Astyanax mexicanus: one gene and its partners. The protein of the gene in region 3 purifies or fractionates together with the protein of the main gene of each other region. This does not show direct contact. Links are inferred from orthologs where the notes say so. Each region holds a gene or a part of one and is shown on either strand. Other genes may lie near its edges.

The links. Proteins that work in one complex are often made in the same cells at the same time.
Region 1: the proteins of cop1 (region 3) and ets2 purify together in Homo sapiens (affinity purification with western blotting; 3 studies listed by BioGRID and IntAct, with this or other methods). This does not show direct contact. The link is inferred for Astyanax mexicanus from reciprocal best matches to the Homo sapiens genes COP1 and ETS2.
Region 2: the proteins of cop1 (region 3) and etv1 purify together in Homo sapiens (affinity purification with mass spectrometry; 4 studies listed by BioGRID and IntAct, counting the BioPlex papers as one, with this or other methods). This does not show direct contact. The link is inferred for Astyanax mexicanus from reciprocal best matches to the Homo sapiens genes COP1 and ETV1.

What each region holds. Positions count from the first base shown.
Region 1 is NC_064427.1:35,514,689-35,522,669, reverse strand, and holds the start of ets2 (protein C-ets-2), read right to left. Parts: upstream 3,096-7,981; 5' UTR 2,844-3,095; intron 2,164-2,843; 5' UTR 2,154-2,163; coding exon 2,094-2,153; intron 319-2,093; coding exon 198-318; intron 1-197. UniProt on the Homo sapiens protein: Transcription factor activating transcription. Binds specifically the DNA GGAA/T core motif (Ets-binding site or EBS) in gene promoters and stimulates transcription.
Region 2 is NC_064425.1:25,611,836-25,618,973, reverse strand, and holds the start of etv1 (ETS translocation variant 1), read right to left. Parts: upstream 3,096-7,138; 5' UTR 2,991-3,095; intron 1-2,990. UniProt on the Homo sapiens protein: Transcriptional activator that binds to DNA sequences containing the consensus pentanucleotide 5'-CGGA[AT]-3'. Required for olfactory dopaminergic neuron differentiation; may directly activate expression of tyrosine hydroxylase (TH).
Region 3 is NC_064415.1:58,593,124-58,600,592, forward strand, and holds the start of cop1 (E3 ubiquitin-protein ligase COP1), read right to left. Parts: upstream 3,104-7,469; 5' UTR 2,763-3,103; coding exon 2,458-2,762; intron 794-2,457; coding exon 734-793; intron 640-733; coding exon 542-639; intron 386-541; coding exon 321-385; intron 1-320. UniProt on the Homo sapiens protein: E3 ubiquitin-protein ligase that mediates ubiquitination and subsequent proteasomal degradation of target proteins.

The DNA of each region.
Region 1 (7,981 bases), on a different chromosome or scaffold from region 3:
CTTTTATTTCTTAATGTTTTGGTATTTTTCTCTTAAAAAAAATCATTATCTTTGAATAGAAGACCTAATGAGGTTGTGTTTGTAACATGGAATGGCTTTACACTGTCTGTCTGAACTGAACTAGCCATGACATTTTTATTTACCCCTCACATAAACATCTATCTATCTATTTCTCCTGTACTTTGATGTTATCTCACCTTGTGGAACACATTCCAGGCCTGATGGAACCTCCTGAGCTGCCTGCTCCTCCTCCACAGATGAGTAAAACCCAGAGAATAAAGACATGGGGTCGTCAAACAACTCAAAGGCAACCTGCCTCTGTGAAAACAAAACAAATCACTTCATTAGCAGGGAATGCATTACAATTATTGCTTTATTACTTTTATTACACTAAAAGGCCATTATGTAATATCACTAATTGGGATATTGGGTATAATTATGTGTGAAGAACACACACACAGGTCATTAACAGATGATTGACAGGCACTCTCGTTCTGTTCATAAAACCTAGACAATGAATCATTAAAACTTCAGTCTGGAAGTTAAAAGGCACGTTGGTAATGTAGTACATAGATAACATGCAGCAGGAAAAACCCAGAAGGCACTCCCTCTTTCTCTCTCAACTGCCTTGATTGCTCAAACTCTAGCTGCCAGAGTGAACTGCCTTCAGCCAGCGCCAGCCAGCATACGACCATATTTGGCCTTCCTGTTCCGCAGCAGAGGGGCTGTGTGGGCGCTGGCAGCTCAGAGTCCAAACGATCTCTCTTCCAATAAGGCAGCAGCAACCCTACTCTCTTCAGATCAGATTAAAACAACCACTGTTCTCTTTAGATTAGATTAGTGCTGACACAGATTTTTTTCCCACACCGGCTGCGGTGAAGCTACCGCTGTACGTCTTTATTATCTCTGTGAAAAGGTGCACATCTACAGCAAAACAGCATCTCTGACAGGCTTGTTCTTCAACACAGCACTTTAACTAACTGATTAAAGCTGCTGTGAACAGTGACAGTATCATTTAGAATGTACAATTTGATAAGCTCCTTTTAAATGCATTGAAGTTAACAGACTAATACAAATAATAAAAACACTTTCCTGTCTCACAACAAAAACAAAAGTTTTCAGTTGACATAATAGACTTTCATTATTGATAGCTAATATAACAGTGCAGTTATTGTACAAGCTAAATAAGCAAATCTCTGACACCTAGCATGTTGTTTCGGCTGTTTAAATTTAAGGCAACACTTAAACGCACCTTTGTTTAGATCAGATACACATATATACATTTACAGAATTAATTTTACATAATGTTTCTATTAACACAGTTTACATCCGAACCATGTTGCACAGGTAATGTTATAAATCTTGCCCAAGGACTTTTATTGGTCTACTGTGGTGTGCTAAATGCACCCAGTGAATTGAACTCTTAATACTTTTCCTCAGGTAAAGCAGAGTTGTTGCCCACTAAGCAGCATCACAAATAACAGATATAATGAAGATATGTTCACAATAATCTTAAAAAATATGACCCATACACAGCACAGACATACTCCAGCCATACAAGCCTAAGTTTGGACTGTCCTTGAACACACTTAAACTGTCTGGGAAAAAAAGCACTAGCATAGTGCTGTTGCAGTAGGACAAGAGACTATAAGCATTCTACCATTCTGAAACAACATTTAACAATAGCTTTGACCTACTAAATCATGCTGCCACTTAATACAGATATATTCCACATGGGTACCAGATGAGGTAATGTTTTATTATACCATTATACACAATATGGTTTCATGAGAATATAACAGATTTTGTCCAAGCTTAAAGAACACTGACAGCAACTCATCTACTGAGAACATTTCATTACAGAGAGTGTTCTTAGTGCTTATCAAGTTATAACTTGATGATGAGCAGCACATCTTTGAATATAAAAATATTTAAGTATTTGAATAGATGTTTTAAGGAATCTGCTGTCATCACGCATGTCATGCATTTGTCTGTGTATTGTGAAAACATCCTTAAATATTGTGATATAATACTTTTTTTTATATAAAACATATCAGCCACCTCTAAGTAACAAGGCTTTCCAACACACTTACCTTCAAGCATCTGTAGCCTGAAGACAGGGGGGTCACCTGGTCCATGCTGAGGTCACACATTTAAAGGAACCTGAAGTTACATACACCAAGAAACAGCTGGTTACAATTTGAATTCAGTGACCCAGAGTTTTGTGAGTATTCTAATCTCTGTGGACAACAGTTTAACTTTTAAGTCCCAGGCTGAAAACTGTCTCACTGCTTCATCACTGGTTCATATCTTACTAATGAGTCTCTGAAATGACTCATGGTGGTCGTCACCAGGGGCGGGTGATCCCTCTCAAATTGGATTAAGGACCACCACAAAATGGGTTAGCCACATTAACGCCTCAATTAGCAAAGATGTTACACAAACAGAAGGAACAAACTGTGTCTAAGCTCATTAGCTAGCTATATCCTTTATAATCAGAGGTGCAGACTTATTTATTTTATATATTTTTTCAGTCCACCTTAAATGGCGCAGCAGCTCTATTCCCCCATGTAATTACAGACACCAGATTATAACCGCTAGCATCAGGATTTTTAAGGTGGAACGGCAAATTGAAGAGAACTTCAGAATAACAGTAACCTAGCTAATTGCTGAGCTGTAACTTGTTTTATGACTACGATTAAATAAAAATAAAACACATAACACGATGTTTAGTGATATTTACATCGCTTTATACACGCCTGCCTCAATAAAACAGAAGTAAACGCTATTTAATGTTAGTGTTTTTATCGTAACCCTTTCTGAGGCTGGTCGCTCATACTGACCTGTTGAATGTTTCCACGCAGCGGGCGGTGAAATATCCGAGAGCAGGCTTTAAAACTGGCGGACTGCAGCGTTAATGTATTCCTGTAGTTCCCTGTAGCCGGTGTAGTGTGTGTGCGTTCTCCAGCAGCGTGGGGGGAATCTCTGTGGGGTGTTTCCAGTGTAAACTCGCAGCTCCGCGGTTCTCTCTGTTTTCTCTACGCTTCTCTGGTTTTATGTAAAGTCGACCGCTGACTGAAGCTGCGCGAGGAGCCCTGCTCTTTTAGCGCGAGGCGAGTCTGAGGGGGAGGAGCTTAGCTCAGCACAGCACACTCAGCATGTAGCTCAGTTTATTAGAGAGAGAGAGAGAGAGAGAGAGAGAGAGAGAGAGAGAGTGAGAGAGAAGTTTATATTCATACATTTTTAAGAGTTCAGAAATCAATATTTGGTGAAATAACCCTGTTTTTTTAATCACAGTTTTCATTTATCTTGGCATGTTCTCCTCCACCAGTCTTACACACTACTTTTGGATAACTTTATGCTGCTTTACTCCTGGTGCAAAAATTCAAGCAGTTCAGTTTGGTTTGATGGTTTGTGATCATCCATCTTCCTCTTGATTATATTCCAGAGGTTTTCAATTTGGTAAAATCAAAGAAACTCATCATTTTTAAGTGGTCTCTTATTTTTATCCATAGCTGTATGTGTCACAGATGTATGGTTCGTTTTAGGTGATTTGGGATGTGCTGGAGCGAACTGTTTTTCAGCACCTCCAGGAACTCCTTCCTTTAAGATGCTGAGAAAACTATTCCAGGTGACTCTGCCTCATGAAGACACTGAGATTAAAATACCAAGAGTCTGCAAATCTGTCCTCAAAGATAAACGTGGCTACTAAGAAGAATATAAAGTATAAAACATATTCTGGTTTGTTTAACTTTATTTTTTTTTTTTACAAAAACATCCATGTATTCCTGTATAACTATAATGTCTTCAATATTAAATGTACAGTGTAAAAAAATATAAAAAGAAAGCAAAGCATGATGCTACCAACACCCTGCTTAACAGTTGGTGCTGTTTGTGATCAGTTATAAACTATAGTTGAGATTGAAGGTATAGTTTTTGGAGCAGAGGGATCAGTAACATTATTTTATGAAACCTTAGTCTTAGCCTTAGTCGTCCTTTTTATTGTTCCACTCAGCAACAGGGCATGATGCTGCCACCACCATGCTTAACAGCTAGCATATAATTCTTGTGGATAAATATCTCATTTTCATGCCTCCAAATCTTACCTCATCTGACCTAAAGTTTTACTTTTTTTAAATCAAATTGATGATTAACTGATAATTTAGCTCAGTATGCCCTGTAACCTTATTACAAGGATAACTAATCAGTAAATAAATGCAATGCATTCAGGAAACCACCAGTGCTTCTGAAGTGTTCAAGAGTTTAAAGCTCTGCATTCCTTACTTTTAGCGAGGATGGAACTTTTTAACCTAAACATTTTCACCTCTGCATGTGTGCGTGTGTGTGTGTGTATGTGTGTGTGTGAACAGCAGGATTTCCAGGCCTTTATGAGCAACAGCAGGGGCCCTCACACCTGCCCTCCCTAATGTTTATCACGTCTGAGTTGGTTCACACTCACATTTGTTTATTATGCAGCGTGAATGAGATCAGCCTCCCCTGCTTTTGTGCTGCTGCCTTGTCCTCACTGCTGGCCACCATCACTTGTTACCCTGCTCCCTGTCCCATGGAAGCACTCACACACACGCCCTGGTCACTAAACAGCAGGAGACCCTGCTCAGCCTGGTATTAGAGGTGCTCAGGAGGAAGCTGAACATTAGTGTACATTAGTGCTGAAGGTGGGTTTTTTCTCGTAAGTCGTGTGTTCTTGCTTTTCAAAAACAGAAATAGCAGTGACTCTTAAACAAGGTTTTCTTTTGTGCAGGCTAAATTTCCATGTCATTTACTGTAGTCATGCACTAGCTGGTTGTTGCAGTGTTTTTTTTTTTGTCCTGACATTCAAACTGGGACGAGTTTGGTCTGAGTCACAGGTAATCATACTGTAATAACTGCAGTTAGACTAATGTCTACTCTGCAGTTATCCAGCGGAAATAGAACATGCACATGTATCCTTCAAGGTTACTTGGTACACCACCAGATACCACAATACCACAAGAAAAAACATTGCATGATTCACAATATGGTGTGCTGTAAGACTGTGATATGAAAATAATTCAAGCGACATTTGCCCAGGTAACAGTTCAAGTACATTATTGGCCCAAAACAACATTAAATCAATGCCAAAGTTTAGAACAAAACACCCAAAGAAAGGTGAGCTACATTATAATTGTGAATTTATGAGAAGCATTGTACAAGAATATAGTAAAGCAAATGCATTCTTTTATATAATTAAATAGAAATTTCCTCAGACACAAACTTGACCTCATCTACACTTAATATGAGTATACATAAAGATCCCTTGCAGAATGTCACATTTTTTAAGACTTCAGTATATTCATGAGGCAAAACATGAACCTAAAACTCTATAGTATCTTCATTTAAAAGCAAATCTTCTAGTGTCTTACAGTCATATGAAAAAGTTTGGGCACCCCTATTAATCTTAATCATTTTTAGTTCTAAATGTTTGGGTGTTTGCAACAGCCATTTCAGTTTGATATATCTAATAACTGATGGACACAGTAATATTTCAGGATTGAAATGAGGTTTATTGTACTAACAGAAAATGTGCAATATGCATTAAACCAAAATTTGACCGGTGCAAAAGTATGGGCATCCTAATAATTTTATTGATTTGAATACTCTTAACTACTTTTTTACTGACTAACTGAAGCACAAGATTGGTTTGGTAACCTCACTGAGCTTTGAACGTCATAGCCAGGTGTATCCAATCATGAGAAAAGGTATTTAAGGTGGCCAATTGCAAGTTGTTCTCCTATTTGAATCTCCTCTGAAGAGTGGCATCATGGGCTCATCAAAACAACTCTCAAATGATCTAAAAACAAAGATTGTTCAACATAGTTGTTCAGGGGAAGGATACAAAAAGTTGTCTCAGAGATTTAACCTGTCAGTTTCCACTGTGAGGAACATAGTAAGGAAATGGAAGAGCACAGGGACAGTTCTTGTTAAGCCCAGAAGTGGCAGGCCAAGAAAAATATCAGAAAGGCAGAGAAGAAGAATGGTGAGAACAGTCAAGGACAATCCACAGACCAACTCCAAAGAGCTGCAGCATCATCTTGCTGCAGATGGTGTCACTGTGCATCGGTCAACAATACAGCGCACTTTGCACAAGGAGAAGCTGTATGAGAGAGTGATGCGAAAGAAGCCATTTCTGCAATTTCTCATGATTGGATACACCTGGCTATGAAGTTCCAAGCTCAATGAGGTAACCAAACCAATTTTGTGCTTCAGTAAGTCAGTAAAAAGTACTTAGGAGTATTCAAATCAATAAAATGATAAGGGTGCCCATACTTTTGCACCGGTCAAATTTTGGTTTAATGCATATTGCACATTTTCTGTTAGTCCAATAAACCTCATTTCAATCCTGAAATATTACTGTGTCCATCAGTTATTAGATATATCAAACTGAAATGGCTGTTGCAAACACCCAAATATGTACAAAAAATATGTACAACTCCTTTAAAAAAGTACAAAACACAAGCAAAGTTTTAAATGTGGTGAGACTCTCTGGTTTTCACACTAACCTGGACATTAAGAGCTGAGAGCATGCAGTTATAGAGATACTGGAGGTGATAAAACTCGCAGCAGAGGGAAAACCAGTGTTTGAAAAGAAAAAGTCCTTCAAAAATAAAAAAAATGGGGGGTGTAGCGGTTGTGAACTCTGTGGAATGAGGTGCTATTCTGTATTTGATCAATTTCATAAGAAGTAGAACCTTGAATTTTCATGGTACAAAGGCAGTGCTGTTATATAAAGTCAACATTTATATAACTCTTAAAGCTGAGTGACCTGGTTCTTTTGCATGAAAATACAGACACGAGGACATTAGTGGAGATCTGACAGGTAAAACACCCTTATAAAGCAGCTACATTTAAAGGAGATGCAAGAAGAAAGATGGAATCTGCCTGTAAAATATTCCCCTTCCAAACCTGCCCCCTTCCATTCCATATTTCCTCTATGATGAATGTTATGTTGCACCACTTAGCAACAACTGAGCAACAGCATTGCAACAACTTGGGATATTCTTGCAACCATTTAACAACATCCTAGCATTAGCAAAGACCTGGGATACCATAATAAATACTAGCAACACCATAATAATAACCACTTAGAAAACTGTAGGAACCACCTTGCAATATCCCAAGTACCACATGGAAAACCATAGCAACATTCGGGATACCTCAGAAAATATTAAGCAATTGCTTAGTTACACCATAGCAACCAGCTAGCAACAACCTGGAATATTTGTGTGTGTGTTTAAATACAAACAAAATGTACACGTGTAGAAATCATCTTACAAAGCACAAACAAAATGTTCTGTTTTATTAAGCTGGAAGTAAGCTTAGCAGATTCCACAGCACCATCTCCATAAAACACTTTAGCAGAACATGTTTTACTGATGAGCATAAAACAAACCATCATTAAGTTACACAAGTGTTTCCCAACCACTGTTCTCTTCCACCAGTCTTACACACTGCTTTTGGATAACTTTATGCCACTTCTGTTGCAAAAATTCAAACAGGTCAGCTTGGTTTGATGGTTTGTGATTATCCATCTTTCTTTTGATTATATTCTATAAAATCAAAGAAACTCATCATATTAAGTTATCTCTTATTTTTTTCCAGAGCTGTATATTAAATAAATAATATATCTTTGTTTTTATAATAAGCGGCATATGATTACAAAATAAAAGGCCTACATAGCAAATTAATAACATGATTTCAGTCAACTCTCATATTTTGGCGTAATATTACAAACTTTAGGAGTTTTCTGTTGTAAAATTTAGACCAAACATGTGTGGAAACACTGTAGTTCAGACTAAAGCGGTACAAACAAGGTACAACAGTTTTCTTGAGAGGTTAGGTAGTTTAATGATGCACTACACCATGTTAGGTTGTACAGGAAACACACCCTTGGTTAGCGCTAATGCAAATCAATAAAATAAAGGCTTTGTCCAGAACCGTTTTT
Region 2 (7,138 bases), on a different chromosome or scaffold from region 3:
GCTGAACTGCTTACATTTTTGAACCAGGAGTGGCATAAAGTTATCTAAAAGCAGTGTGTAAGACTGGTGGAGGAGAACATGCCAAGATGCATGAAAACTGTGATTAAAAACCAGGGTTATTCTACCAAATATTGATTTCTGAATTCTTAAAACTTTATTAATATAAACTTATTCTCTTTGCATTATTTGAGGTTGGAAAGCTCTGCATCTTTCTTTTTTTCAGCCAGTTCTTATTTTCTGCAAATAAACGCTCTGAATGACAATATTTTCATTTGAAATTTCTGAGAAATGTTGTCTGTATTTTATAGAATAAAACAACAATGTTAATTTTACTCAAAAATACCTGTAAATAGCAAAATCAGATAAACTGATTCAGAAAATGAACTGTATATAGTAAAAAGGTAAATTGTCTGAGAGCCATTACTATAAACCGCAATCAATAAGTATTTGTGTTTAAATTAGAGCCTGGTATGTGTTGATGTAAGTTCATAATAAAAAAATAATTTTATACTAAAACTACTACAGGTGAATTAATTCTCACGGTTTGCTGAGGTGTTAAATGCCGTGGAAACTACATTTCTAAAGCTGGGACTCCATCTACAGGCCACAGAGCGTACACTGATTGAAAAATTTAGAAGATCACTACTGCCCCAGTGTGGTGAGATGAGTCATGGATGTACACTTTACAGTACATCCTGTACATTCACACTCCTGCACACTATTTACTAAATACAATACTTGCACAAGTTATTCAGTATTGTTGTATCTGCTGATACCTGCTCTCCCTTTTACCTTATTTATTCTGTATTACTGCACTTCTTCCTATTCTCAGTTAGGTTACTATCATACTTTGTATAGTTATTTATAGTATAGTTGTATAGTTAATTTTTTAAGGCTCAGTTAGCATCTATATATTTTTTAGACCACCCCAGGAAAAGAAGAGCAAGAATTATCTCTGTTACAAACCTCAGAAACCGCAAGATAACCGCAAAGATAAGACACCACCTAAATATATTTTGGTTTGACTATATAAATTATTATGTGTTCCTTCAAAGTCTGGATGAGTTTAATATTCATTAAAGAAATGTCATTATTTAAAAATAAAACTTGAATGCGAAGATGCATCAAAACGTTCAACAGGTACTGTCATAAGCCCTATCTATACAGGATTAGTTTCTCAGGATTAGATAATCCCTGTATCTATACAGGATTAGTTTTCTAATATTTTACACTTCTAAGTGTGATAAAACTCTTGCATCCGGACTGCAATTGAAAAAAAAAAGGAGGACCAGTGAGTTTTTTGGCTTTCTCAGTCACATGACATCACGTTCAATAGCTCCTCCATTTTTAGTCACTGCTGTGTTTATGTGGATCTCTGTGGAAACGCGCGCCCAAAGAGGACATCTGATTAAAAAAAACATACATGGTTGTTCTGGACAGGAATAAAATCACAGAGTACCCCTACCCCCCCCCCCCCCCCCCCCCCATAAAAGAGAAAAATACCCCAGGAACCCCTGAGAACCCTGAGCACTGCAAAAGCCATTTTTTAAGATACTGACACTACAGACTGTTGGGTCTGACTGTGTGACTTGGATTTAAATACAGCTTTTTGATTGGACATGCAGTTTCCATGTTGCACTGGATTTGTGTGCATTTTTTCCCATAGGAATGAAAAGGGTGCAAACTTTGGTGCCTTTTTGGCATCCTTATGGTAAAACGATAATACAAATACACTTGTAACAACCAAACATTCACATGGGGTACCACAGCAACCACTTGACAGCCAGAAACCATGTCAACTATTAAGCATCCACTCATTAACACCCTAGCAACCACTAGGCGACACCATAATCAACCACCTGAAAAACCATTGCAATCCACTTGCGATAGTACAGCACCCATCTTAAAAGCCTCCAACTCCCAGCAACTTCTATGATACATATATTTTTTAATATTAATGACATAAATTCACTCATGTTGTACACCAGCTTAAAGTGGACATGAAACACAAGTATTCAGTATAATTTACAAGATGTATTTTAACTTTAACAAATCGTATAAGTTTAACAGTTGTCAGTGAAACTGATTTAAAATAATAAGCAATCTAAATGTAATTTTTTTAAGTAACGTTAAGTGTAGCGCCATCTTGTCCCAGCGCTGAAAGTGACGTCACGAGGTTGATTCTCAGACGCCTACAAACTATTAGCCTACAGTAACTTAATTCCTCAATGAATAATAAAAGCCAGACCAAACAAAAATCGATGCAATTGGGCAACTTTTGTATTGCCCCTGGGTGTAGTAAAATTGTATAGGGTGAAGAATGGGAAAAAGATTCACTTTCATATCTCGCCTCTTAAGCGGATAGCTGTTCTTCGGCTGTGGCTAGCGGCGCTGAAGCGTGAGTTAGTAGCGAGCACTTTCGAGACGAGGACTATGTGGAGAAGAGGGTTTTTAAGTCAGGGTCATTAGTCGTTGGCCGGACAAATAAGCTGAAGTCCAAGACTTTTTTCTTCCTTTTTTAATTTTTCCTCTTACCAGCTGGGATGTACAGACCGTCCGACTGTGGGGGTAAGTTACTATGAAAGCAGCAGCTGTGAGCCTCAAGAAAGGAGCCAAACGACGCGCCCACCCAGCAGAGCAGCGAGAGGTACCGAACGTCTAGATAAGCTGACAGTTAAAAGATAACATAGCTAGCGTTAGCTATGTATCTAGCTATCTTACCACAGCTGGCATTAGCTATTTAGCTAGCTATCTTACTAAAGCTAGCGTTAGCTACTTAGCTAGCCATGTTAAGGTTGCTTGCCAACGCTAGCTAACTAGCTAACGCTAACTAGATAAAGCTAGCTACCCAGCAACTTCCAAACTGAACGGTTTATCAACTTAATATCCACTTAAATCATGTACGTTTTATTCAGTCTTAATGAACTCTGGTCTTTGCATGCTAAATAGCTAAATGTATATAAACACGCTAGTTAACGGTATGGCAGTACCTGCTGTTGACGGGCTCCAGGGTTTCTGCACGGAACTCACGTAGAGAGAGTATAGACACCTCCAAAACTTCTCGCTCTTAGAAAAGCATCTGAAAAGTTCTGCTCAGGGTTCTGCAGGGACGATATCAGAGCAAATGGTTCACGTTAGCCTCCTGACAGCAAATCCACTCGGTTGCAATCGGCACGGCAGTGCAGTGAGCGCATCTGCACCAGGTAAAGTTAGTGTTATGCCAAGCTCAGACTACACAACATTTTTGTCCCTCACAATGTTCACTATGTCAGATTAAGCAGTTATTTTCGTTTTGCGTCGTTCTCGGGGGACTGGCAACACTACAGGTTAGTCACCGACCAATCATCGTCCGCGTCCTCGCGTGAGTTCGTAGGTCATCGCGGGGGAAGAGGATAGAATCTGAGAATCACGGCTACAGAAGCGCTTTGCATGATGAAAGCGCTTTTGTGCTGAAGAAACTTAAAACAGGGGGAAAAGCGACTGTGGGCTCATTCCTGGGTGACCCAAATGGACATTATATGCTTTTTGTACTCCAGAGAGAAGTTAAGGTATGGTAAAGATGTAGCTACTTAGGTTTCAGTGAATGTAAACAGAATATTTCATGAATGAAGTAGATTATTAGATGATTATTATTAGATTATTCTTCTGTTTCTTTGGTCCAGAGAACCGCAGGAGCACCGTCCTGCTTTCTTTTCCTGTGTTTACATCCGTGCGCCACAGAGCGCTCCGTCTTCCTATTGGTCATAGTCAGGGAGCACGTCGCTGAGCATGTCAAACTAGGCCATAAAATACAACGAATTCTAACATGCTAGTCTTTCCGTCGGACGCTCCGACGGCGTCGCTCACGTCACATTACTGATCTTTAACTGTGTCACACTACACGGACCTTTGTCGCTCGCGACAATAAAATTCGGTTCCGACGCACGCAATGTGTCGGCGCCGACAAAATCGGGTCAAATCGGGCTAAAATCGTGTAGTCTGATCCGGGCATTCACGACCCTCTCCACCTGCACGGGAACCGCTGGCTGTCTCCTCTGTATAAATCGTTTGTACCGTAATCTGTCTCGTCTCCTCGCCGACTCAAACGCATGAGCCATTGGGTTTCTGGGAACCTGATTAAAACCCCGTTCAGCTTCGACTTCATCCACAATCTCGACAAACAGCAAGCTTATTTCCTTAACCGTGACCGCTAGCTACCTGGGCTCTTCAACCAACCAACATCGTGACGTCACTGCACTGGCAAAACGTTTAGGGTAGTAACAAACATAAATATATTATAATTTAGTGTGTAAACATTTTATATAAATGGATTTAAAATTAAACAAAGGGTGCACAAATTCTGCAAAATTAGCTTTTACTAAAGGACATGGACCAGATATATTCCATGAGTGAATCCATTCCTCAATACAGTATGCAAATGTAAACAATTCACTTGTTTCTGATTTGTTCTTTTCCTTCATAATACAAAGGAACAAATTATAAAAAAAGAAATCTGTCTGTTTTGATTGGGAGACGAGTCTTTTTAACCTGCAGAAACAGCTCCAGAAAGAGTGTAATCACAGTTTACTTGATTAGCTCCGTTACCTTTCTTTTAGATAAATCGCTGTATATCGAGATCTGTTTTAACGTCAGCTGCTCCGACTAGCTGCCTGAACTCACAGCGAGGGGGCGGGGCTTCCCCACACTGACCCTCCTCTGCACTGCGCAAAACTAGCAAGCTAATTGGCTGTTTCTCCTGAAAGGCGGGACTTTCTCCTTGAACTGGCACCATGATTGGCGTCAAGAGATTGAATAATCTCTCATTCATACGTTTTTTTGTGTTTTTTTTTATAATAAGGAAAATTTACGGGAAAATACTAATACGGGAGGACAGCGGGAAAAAGGGGTAAAATACGGTAGTTTCCCGGCCAAAACGGGAGACTTGACAGGTATGATCATATTTAATCCCTTAGAAAACTTCTACAAACTGAAATGTTTCATGTCCACTTTAAAATCACGCAACCTGAACTACACCGGTTAGATGATTATTTTATGCCAGACAGGATGGCAGAAATCAGAATAAACACATACACACTGCACCACCAGGGACCCAGCAGAGGGCAGCACAGGCCCAGGAGCCTACAGCTGGTCAAGCTTTAGACCCGGACATTTTTAGGGAAAATCGTATTCAAAACACAGCATCTCTCCTTCTAACAGAGATAAAAGAGAGCAGCATCATTCACCCCAACTGCTTCTAATGATGAGGCCATATAAAACAGCCTGTAGCATCAGGACTGATCTCGCTCGTCCCTGATAAAGACTGTTTACCCCCTATCTTCTGAGAAAATGCTACATAAAAGTCCTCCAAACCTGTAAATAAAAGTGTATTTATGCAGGCAGTGAGTCTGCTAAACCAAACGAACGAGTCACACTTTTAATGCACCCAGCTGATCTTAATTTCACTGATTATGAGACTACTCATACAAAATGTCTGGACTTTATTTTTTAGGCAGTGAATATTTATGTTATTACTTAATTACTTATTACCTGACATTAATTTGTTGAAGTCTGTTTTCACTTTTATATTCTTGGCAAAAATGCAAATAATATAGACTATGACTCCATTTATAAAAGCATTAAAAAATGGGGTGAATACTTTTTATAGGCACTGTACAGGATTGTATAAGGCTTTCCTGATTGAGGTTGTCCTTCTTCAGCATAGGAAAAACATCTATCAATGGGGTAAGCAAAAATAAAAAAACGATTATTTTGAGTTCAAATGTAAAAAAAATCTACATAAAACTAATTAAAATAAATTCATTATAAAATAAGAAAAATAATCTTATATTTACAATGCTTAGTAAGACAAAAAATAAGAAAAATAAGATTTATTGCAGTGTGAGGGAGAAAAGCAATGGTGAAATAATATAGAAACTGTACCTTTCCTAGAGTGTGTTTGACTGACACGTGTCCATTAAAAAACACTTTCTCATTGAAACACTTTCATTCCAGGTTTTTGATTGTATCTGCAACCAAAAGGAAAATCCCAATTTAAAGCTGATGTCTAAATTTTGTAATTTGGGGGATTTAGGGCCCTCTCTGGTGAGAATGGGTAATTGCACCGAACATGCGGAAGAATCATTTTAAACTGGGAGGATGTGAGGCGGTCTACTTTCAGAGCGGATGAATCCGATTCCAGGTTATGTTCAGTCAGAGAGAGAGAGAGAGCACGCAGGAAAATGTCTTTCTGCGAAAAGCGACCGACCGACACCCCAATTTTTAGAATAAATATATTAGGCTTAGCAGGGATGGTTGTTCCAGCACACTGCTACCAATTAACACAATATTTTATCCCTTCTCCACTCAGAAATGCTTTTGCTTTCAGTTTAGAAAACTGACTGCCACTTTAAGATATTACAGATCAACAGCTATTTGTTATGCAAATATATTAAAACAAAATAGTCTGACCAAAATAAAAAATAATAAAAAGCATAAGAAGAGGAACTACATAACTTGTATAAGGCTTTGTTGGAGTACCATGCAGGTTGGTTTATATGTTCAAAAATATCATCAAATAATCAGATAACATGTCCACTGGTCTACTCAAAAGTGTTAGCTAAGACAGATCCAGCTGTGCAGAAAAATCTCCAGGAAACATTGAGATTTGGTGTCTAAGAATGGTGTCTCAAAGGGTTCATATACTTGAAATTAGAGACCTGAGAAATGTATGTCAGGTCTAGATTAATACAGCAGTAAAACCACTTCAAATATCTCCAATTGGAGCTGTAGAGTAAGACGCAGCAGTGACTCGCTACTGTCACACTGTGCTAGCCAGCTAACATGATAAGTGTCATGGACACAGCAGGCTCAAGCTGATCAATTATTCACATTATCTCTGCTCCTGCATATGTAATGAGAGGTTCTCTAATTATTTATGACCCGTGCAGACTAGTTAAAGGAGAAGAGTAACAGATTCTCACTGATTTTCTACTTTTGTGTACCACAGAACAAGATATAATGAGAGGAGCTACAGTAGGCTATAGTGTATTATACAGCAAAATGTATATTCCACAAACAGTCGCTCTCTCAGAAGTCCTCTCTTTATACTTCCACTTTAGTAAAAGCAAAAAAAGGTATTTACCCTTAAAGTTACTTAAGT
Region 3 (7,469 bases):
GCAGCATTATTGTATTTCTATCATCTGTATTAAAGAACAATTTACTTTTTATCCAATCAGAACAGTGGGATTTAACAGAAGACTGCAACACTGCTCTCTAGTGGTCAGAGTTTAAACAACAGCAAATGAACCCCTGTCAGACATCAGATGTCTTTTATTGTAAACTAATAGATAAAAGTCATTGAGGTATTGTAAAAGTAATTATCACAATAATCTAATATATCAAATTTCTTACACCCCTAGTAGAGACATTTTCCAGCTGAGAAATATGAAAGAATTTTTAAAGACAATACGTTTTTCTGAGCATGCTGTATACTTACAGGGTGGTCCCGTTTTAGCCGTTTCTCCTCACATCTCTGTTTCTGCTTGAGGATTAGCTCGTTCACTGCGACAAAGAAAATACAGTATAAAATATCTCTGACTCAGAGGTGCGGACCTTAACACTGTTTAATAATATAAAAAGAAAAAAAAAAGTGTGTACGCGCTTCAGAAAACCCTGCACAGATAAAGATAATCCGCATTTACTCTTTAAATCACTCACCTAAGAAGTTGGGGTAGAGTTGATCAACATTGTCTATAATGTAATTACATTTTGGGCACCTGTTGCTGTCCTCCAAACTCTGTCGTATACATTTATAACTAGAAAACAAAAATTAAAACAAGAATCAGCATCACAGGAAGCATTACGGCAGAAAAACGGATACACATGAGATAAAATTAAATGTTTTCTCACCAGAAACTGTGGCCACACTTAGTCATGTGAGCTTCCTCTATCATTTCGAAACATATGGGACTGAAAAACAAAAAATGAAAATCATTTTTAAAAAGGATTATTAAATACTCTGCATGTTTTTGTGCTTTTTAATTCACTTTTACTCCAATGTTCAATTCAATCCATCATACATTTTACTGTTTAGCTACTGGCATAATGTACATGATGTCCATTTCACAGACATGTGATTCGCTTTCTTGTAAGTCTGTTGCACAAACATATTTTTGACTTCTAATTTATCACAGTATTATTATTAATATAGTATTATTATTAAGTGTATTTGGACGTTGGAACTATAAGGTAGAAATATTAAAAATATCCTACATAATCAAAACAAATAAACCAAAACAACTGTTTTCGCTGTGGGAAATCGCAGAATCAGGACCTGAGGTTCTCTCTCTCTCTTTCCATTGGCAGTATATAGCCGCTGCTCCTGACTCCCAGTTGCTGACTGAGTCAGATATCTAGCATGCCAAACATTTGCCGGGTGAGATATAGTATGACTGACTTCTGAAGAAAGCTGGTAAAAGCCTTGTATTTTCTAATATCTCTAAATAAATGGCAGAAAACATAAAAATAACATATTTCAATGTAAGATTTTTCCACCAGTATTGTGCAGCTCCATGCTGTATGACCTAGTGAACTGATATCATTATTATTTTATTATATATTAGTCTAGCAACTAATAAGTTCAGTAATGACTGTCAGTCTGTGGCAGATGCTGTAAAATGTTGTAAAATACATATTTATATCAAAAATGATTTTGAAACCGTATCATCCTTACTGAAACATATTCATCACCACAATATATTAGGATATCGATTAATTACCCAGCTCTACCTGCTACTGTAAATAATGCAGCTGCAGGAACACCAATCTGGTAGCTTCGTTAGCTAAACTAACACATATAAACACATAAAACAACTTAAAACACCTACATGACAAACATACAAAACGACTGTAATTTGTTTTATCGACAAAAACCTTAGAAGAGTCGAGAAAACTCTTATTCTGAGAGCTAAAAGAGCTAACGAAGTAACTGTTAGCGTTTACTAGTTTTACAAGCTAACTAGCTAGCATTAACTTAGTTAGCTAGATTAGCTAACTATATTATTGCATGTTTTAGACAAACAGCAATAATTAACGTTATAAACACCGACACAAAACTAAACACAGCTACAAATAAAGATAAAGAAAGCATAGCGCAGAATTAGTTTAAGTTTGTTTTTGGAGAGAAAAGGGAACAGAGAAAAACGGTTACTAGCCTAACTTACGTTAGCGATAGCATTAGCTAGCTAATATCACAGGAACTGGCAATGCTAACCTAGCTAATCTAGCTAGCGTCAACTTAGTTAGCTAGGTTAGCTAACTTTAGTAATGCGTGTTTTAGACGTTATTAAAAATATATAAATGTAAATAAATGAGTTTAATAAATGCAGATAAATGTTAACGCAGAATTAGGTTAGCTAACTATTTTTGTGTCAAAGAAAGAAAAAAGGGAACAGAGAAAAGCGGTTAACGTTACTGGCATAACGTTAGCAATAGCATTAGCTAAACTAATATAGCTATGATATGCTACGATATTCTATGCTAAGCTAAGCTAACTGTAGGTAGTGGAGCGCTAATAGCGGCCCTTCAGCTTGGTTCTCCCCGTCGGTAAGCTGCAGTTTGTCGGCTCTACTCACCAAACGAAGTCGTTGCTCTTATCCTCATACGGATTAATAAGGCCGTTATACAGCGGCCGCTTCCTGCTGTAGCTCCCGCCGGAGGAGCCAGCTCTGCCGCTCTGGGTCCCCGTAAGCTGCTGCTCAGCTCCGGAGCCCAGTGTCCTGGAGGATCCTCCTCCGCCGCCGCTGCCGCCTCCCGTGTTGCTCCCGTTGGCCGTAACGCTGCTGCTGCTCCCGCTATTTGCGGTGTTCCCGCTCCCGGAGCTCGTACCGGGCACAGAGCCCACGCCGCCGCCCTGGTGCTGCTGCCGTCCGCTCGACATGGTTCCCTGGTGCCGCCTGTATGAACTCCCTCCCCGCAGGCCCGAAGCTTCACTGCATGCTAACCGGCCCAGCAAGCCCGGCGCTGCCGCCGCCGTTACCCCGCACACAGAGCCGCAGCAGCGGGGAAACAGTCGCGCTGTACCCCGCAGACACTCTCTCCGCTCACCGCTCTGCCTGGAGCAGCGCTGGGTTTAATATCAGCCACCAAAACACAGAATATCCTCACCGCGGAGCCTCCTGTTGACAATTCTCAAACGGGGGTTTGAACAGATTTCAGCCCGCTGCAGAAGAACAGCCGCCGCCAGGCAACACTCACACCGCGGCGGGCAGGAGAGCTCCACCGCCACCCTCTGTACCGGAGCGGGCCTGAGTCTGGGGTATTAATTATAGTTCATTATAGCAGGTCTGAGCTTTTTAACACCTCAAAACATGATTTCAGAATTATTTTGACTATTTTATGTATTTATATTGAAATATAACATTGAGATTGTCATATTAAAATAGTTTTAAAAAGACACAAAAGTAAAAAAAAAAAATCAAATATATATTTTTAATTATATACTCATAGCTCTGGAAAAAATACTCACTCACTTGTCACAAAATGAGGAGTTTCTTTGATTTTACCAAATTGAAAACCTCTATAATATAATCAAGAGGAAGATGGATGATCACAAACCATTAAACCAAGCTGAGCGGATTAAATTCTTAAACCACGAGTAAAGCAGCATACAGTTATCCAAAAGCAGTGTGTAAGACTGGTGGAGGAGAACATGATGCCAAGATGCATGAAATTAAACTGTGATTAAAAACTAGGGTTATTTCCCATTTTCTGCAAATAAATGCTCTAAATGAGAATATTTTTATTTGGAATTTGGGAGAAATGTTGTCTGTAGTTTATAGAATAAAACAAAAATGTACATTACTCAAATATAAACCTATAAATAGCAAAATCAGAGAAACGGATTTTGAAACTTAAGTGGTCTCTTATTTATTTTCCAGAGCTGTATATATACATACGTATATAAGCAAATCAGAACAAAAAGTAAAAATATATATATATTTATATTATATATTTATATGCTGTCCTGTATTGTAACAGCAGAGGGCAGAGTGACCTACGGAAAAGCTGAACTTGTTGCTGGTTTACTGCAGTGCGCGCTGGTGGCCAGCAGAGGGGGGTAAAACTGCTTTAATAAAATACTAAAAGTCTACAAATTAAAAGTAAAAGTACTTAATTAATTAAATGAATTAATTGAATAAAGTACTTACAGATATGCAATGCACGTTTTAATGCATCTCGTATCCATAAGAACAGAAGCCGAAGTTTGTTAGGACATATTATTGGCTGTTTTGGTGTGTTTTTGGTTTTAATGTCAAATATTAAAAAAAAAAAATAAACAGAAACTAATTTAAATAATGTGATAGGAAGTCTCTACTAATCTCTACTCCTCAATATCAATAACTATTTAGGTCTAATTAACCCTTAAAGGCACAGTGGTCACAAATGTATTCCTAAAATGTATTTTTTTTTTACCTTTTGTACCTTTTGGGTTGTTAAATGGTACAAATCTGTACTTCCTGCTGTAAGGAATGAAGTACTTATATTGTACCTTTGTGTTTTTTTTAGTGTGCAATTTGTCCAGATCAGCAAATCTGACAGTGTGAAATAAATAAATCCTCTAAAAGGGTTTATTTTAAATTGTATTAATTATTAATTAAAATGTATTAATATTTTTGGTCACTTTTTAAAGGAATCCACCCCTGTTTGTGTATATTGTGTAAAATATTGTGTATTTTCAGCTCGCTTGCTGCAGAATGAGGCGTTTATACCGTAGTTCAGCCCAGTGAAGCTGGAAAAAGTGTTCGTCCCCTTTGGGGAAAATTACTGAGCATCTTACAGAATACATTAGCCTGTCAGGAGACCACCACGGGAGAAGTCCTGGCCCGTATTTTACCCTGCAGCTGTCCTGTCTGCTTCTGAAGAGCCGTTCCTTCCCCTCACGCCCTCCGTCCGTAAACACTCCGGCGTGTGAACAAGTTCATCACCAGTCCAACTCCAACCAACTCCAACCATCACAGAGAGGATCCAGTCATTACTGAACAGAGATGAGTCAAAATAAACAGAAAAAACAAGAAAAAACTAGAGAAGAAGTGATGGAACTATTGTATATCAGCTTCTCTGCAAAAAAACTGATTAATATAGTACTTTAAAATAGCCTTTTTTACTAGATAGTGATGGTATGAATCACAGTGGAACCCTTTTTTGAGTTACAAATCAATCAATCAATCAATTATCCAATCAACCAACTAATTAATCAATCAATTAACCTTTATTGTCACTCGGTAATACATTGAGGGAATAATTTTCGATGCAGCCAAGCATTTACCTTCTAAAGAGACTGGGAAAAAAAATCAATTCAAATTAAAGTCAAGTATTTAATATATAATTATCAGGTTACGCTAAAATAAGGAACAAATAAACAATAAAAAAAACAACAAAAATTAAATGGCAAAAGCATTTAGCTGTGTTTTTGTTTGTCATTTATTTTATCATCATTTATGCTTTATATATTTAAATTATTTTATTGTAAAGCATTTTGTGGCTCTGTTATATAGTTCTGAAAAGTGCTGTATAAATAATTATTATACCACAGTTAGTAGTTCCGACCCTGCAATGTGATTGGCTGAGAGGCGTTCTATGAGTGCCGTTATCAGCCAGTAATGCACTGCTGTAACCGAAGCTCTCCATGTACGTATTACTCCGCCACATACAGGTAACCTACGATGCAACGATGCAGCGCTTACAAACCAAACAGCTCAGCTACAAACAAACAGAGCAGCAATGGAGCTATTTTAACTGGCAGAGTTTTTATTTTATAGCCAAACAGATCGTGCAGATTTTCTCCTCCTCTTTAACTCTTTAAAATATTTAAATAAACAGAGATAATAATGGAACTGTGTTATATTGCTGATCTACGATCGCACCAAAACAGTGCCAATATTACACGTTATAGCACGAACCTTGAGAGTATTTTTGCTTAAATATGACTTGCTTAATTTGCAAAATCTTAGTCTGTGAGTAAAAACTCTGTGTCTAGTATTTAGATGTGAGAGGTTGTCAGACTTTTAATCTGTTTAAAGTCCTTTTAAAGTCTTTTTCAGAGTCTTTTTAAAGTGGTGTAGAGTACGGACAGCGTAAGGCAGGTCTTTAGGGCTGGCGCACTTTCCGAAAAGATCAGCCCTCTCGGGAGGAACTGGAGTAGAGAGCCGTGGATGAGTTGTGTGGAGCAGAAGCCAGCCAGTTCAGTGTCTCAATTATAGATGAGAGCTGCACGTTTTGCCATTTCAAACATTTATATATCTTGTAGGGCTTCTGTTAGGACTCTGCTCAGAGATATAGACCTCTTTTAAAACGGAGCCAAGGTACTCAAAGAGCCTGATGGGTAAAGACAGCGAGAGGTGAGAGAGTGATGAATGGGGGTTTCCAGCTCCAGTAATAATATCAGTGATTCAGTAGCAAACAGGAGAGTTTAAGTGTAAGAAAAGCAGATTAAATCATGTTATTCAGTTCGATCTGAAACATTAAATTACATCATAAAGCTCAGCTCTGTGTGTTTCTATCTATCTGTCTGTTTTCTGCTCTGGATTGAGAGATTGAGTTTTGTATTGGTTTTATAATAAAGCTGCATGTACCAACAACCACCAGTAGAGGGCCTGGAGTCTGCAGTGGAAGAGCTGGTGGATCTGGGCCAAAATAACAAAAACAAAAAAACTACAAGTCCCAGAATCCCCAGCGATATTCAGCGCAAACTAGGATCAGCTGTGAAACACAGTATAAAAAACCCAGTCATAGCTCAGTTCTCTGTCGCACCTTTGTAGAGGGGTGATCAATAACAGTGGGTAACAGAGAAAAAAGAGAAAAGATAAAAAAAAGGATCTCGAAAGAAAGACAAAAACAAGAAAAAAGAAAGAAGCGAGATCTTAAAAGAAAGCAAACGAAAAAAATAGTCAGTAGAACATTTTCTAAATGTTACTATTAATGTTCTTAGTAAGTTCAAGTTCATCTGTTAAGTTTTCTTGATATCCTTATAATGTTATGCAACATTTCTTTTAACATTTTCCCAACGTCGCTACAATATCACTTTTCAATTTATACTGTATAGTGTATGTTTTAAAAATGTTAACTTTAACAACACAAATGACGTTGCAGCAATGCTACCAGAATGTTTAAGAATGGTACATAAAACATTCTAAGAACGTCCAGAAATGTTCTAAGACTGTTACTCTATGAACTGTAACTTTGTGTAAAAGTTGAACATTCTAGGAATGTTAATTTGTAACATTTAGAAAATGTTCAATAAAACATTCTAAGAACATCGAGTAAAATTAAAAGATTGAATGTTCTAAGTCTCTGTTAACGTTGAATGTAACGTTTTGAAAACGTTTGACATAAAGATGGTTTGCACAATGTTATTAGAACGTCTCTCACATAGACGAATACAACCAAACTAAAAATGTAAACATTTATTAAGAATGTTTAAAAACATTGAATAAAATGTTCTGAGAACATTCAGAAAACACATTGACAGATTATTCTAAGAATGTTAATTGTAATGTTTCTACTAAAACCTTCTACTAACAAAACTACTAACTTTTTGAGGAAGCTGGGATTCAGCTTTGAGTTCTGTACGGATGGATGCTTTGAT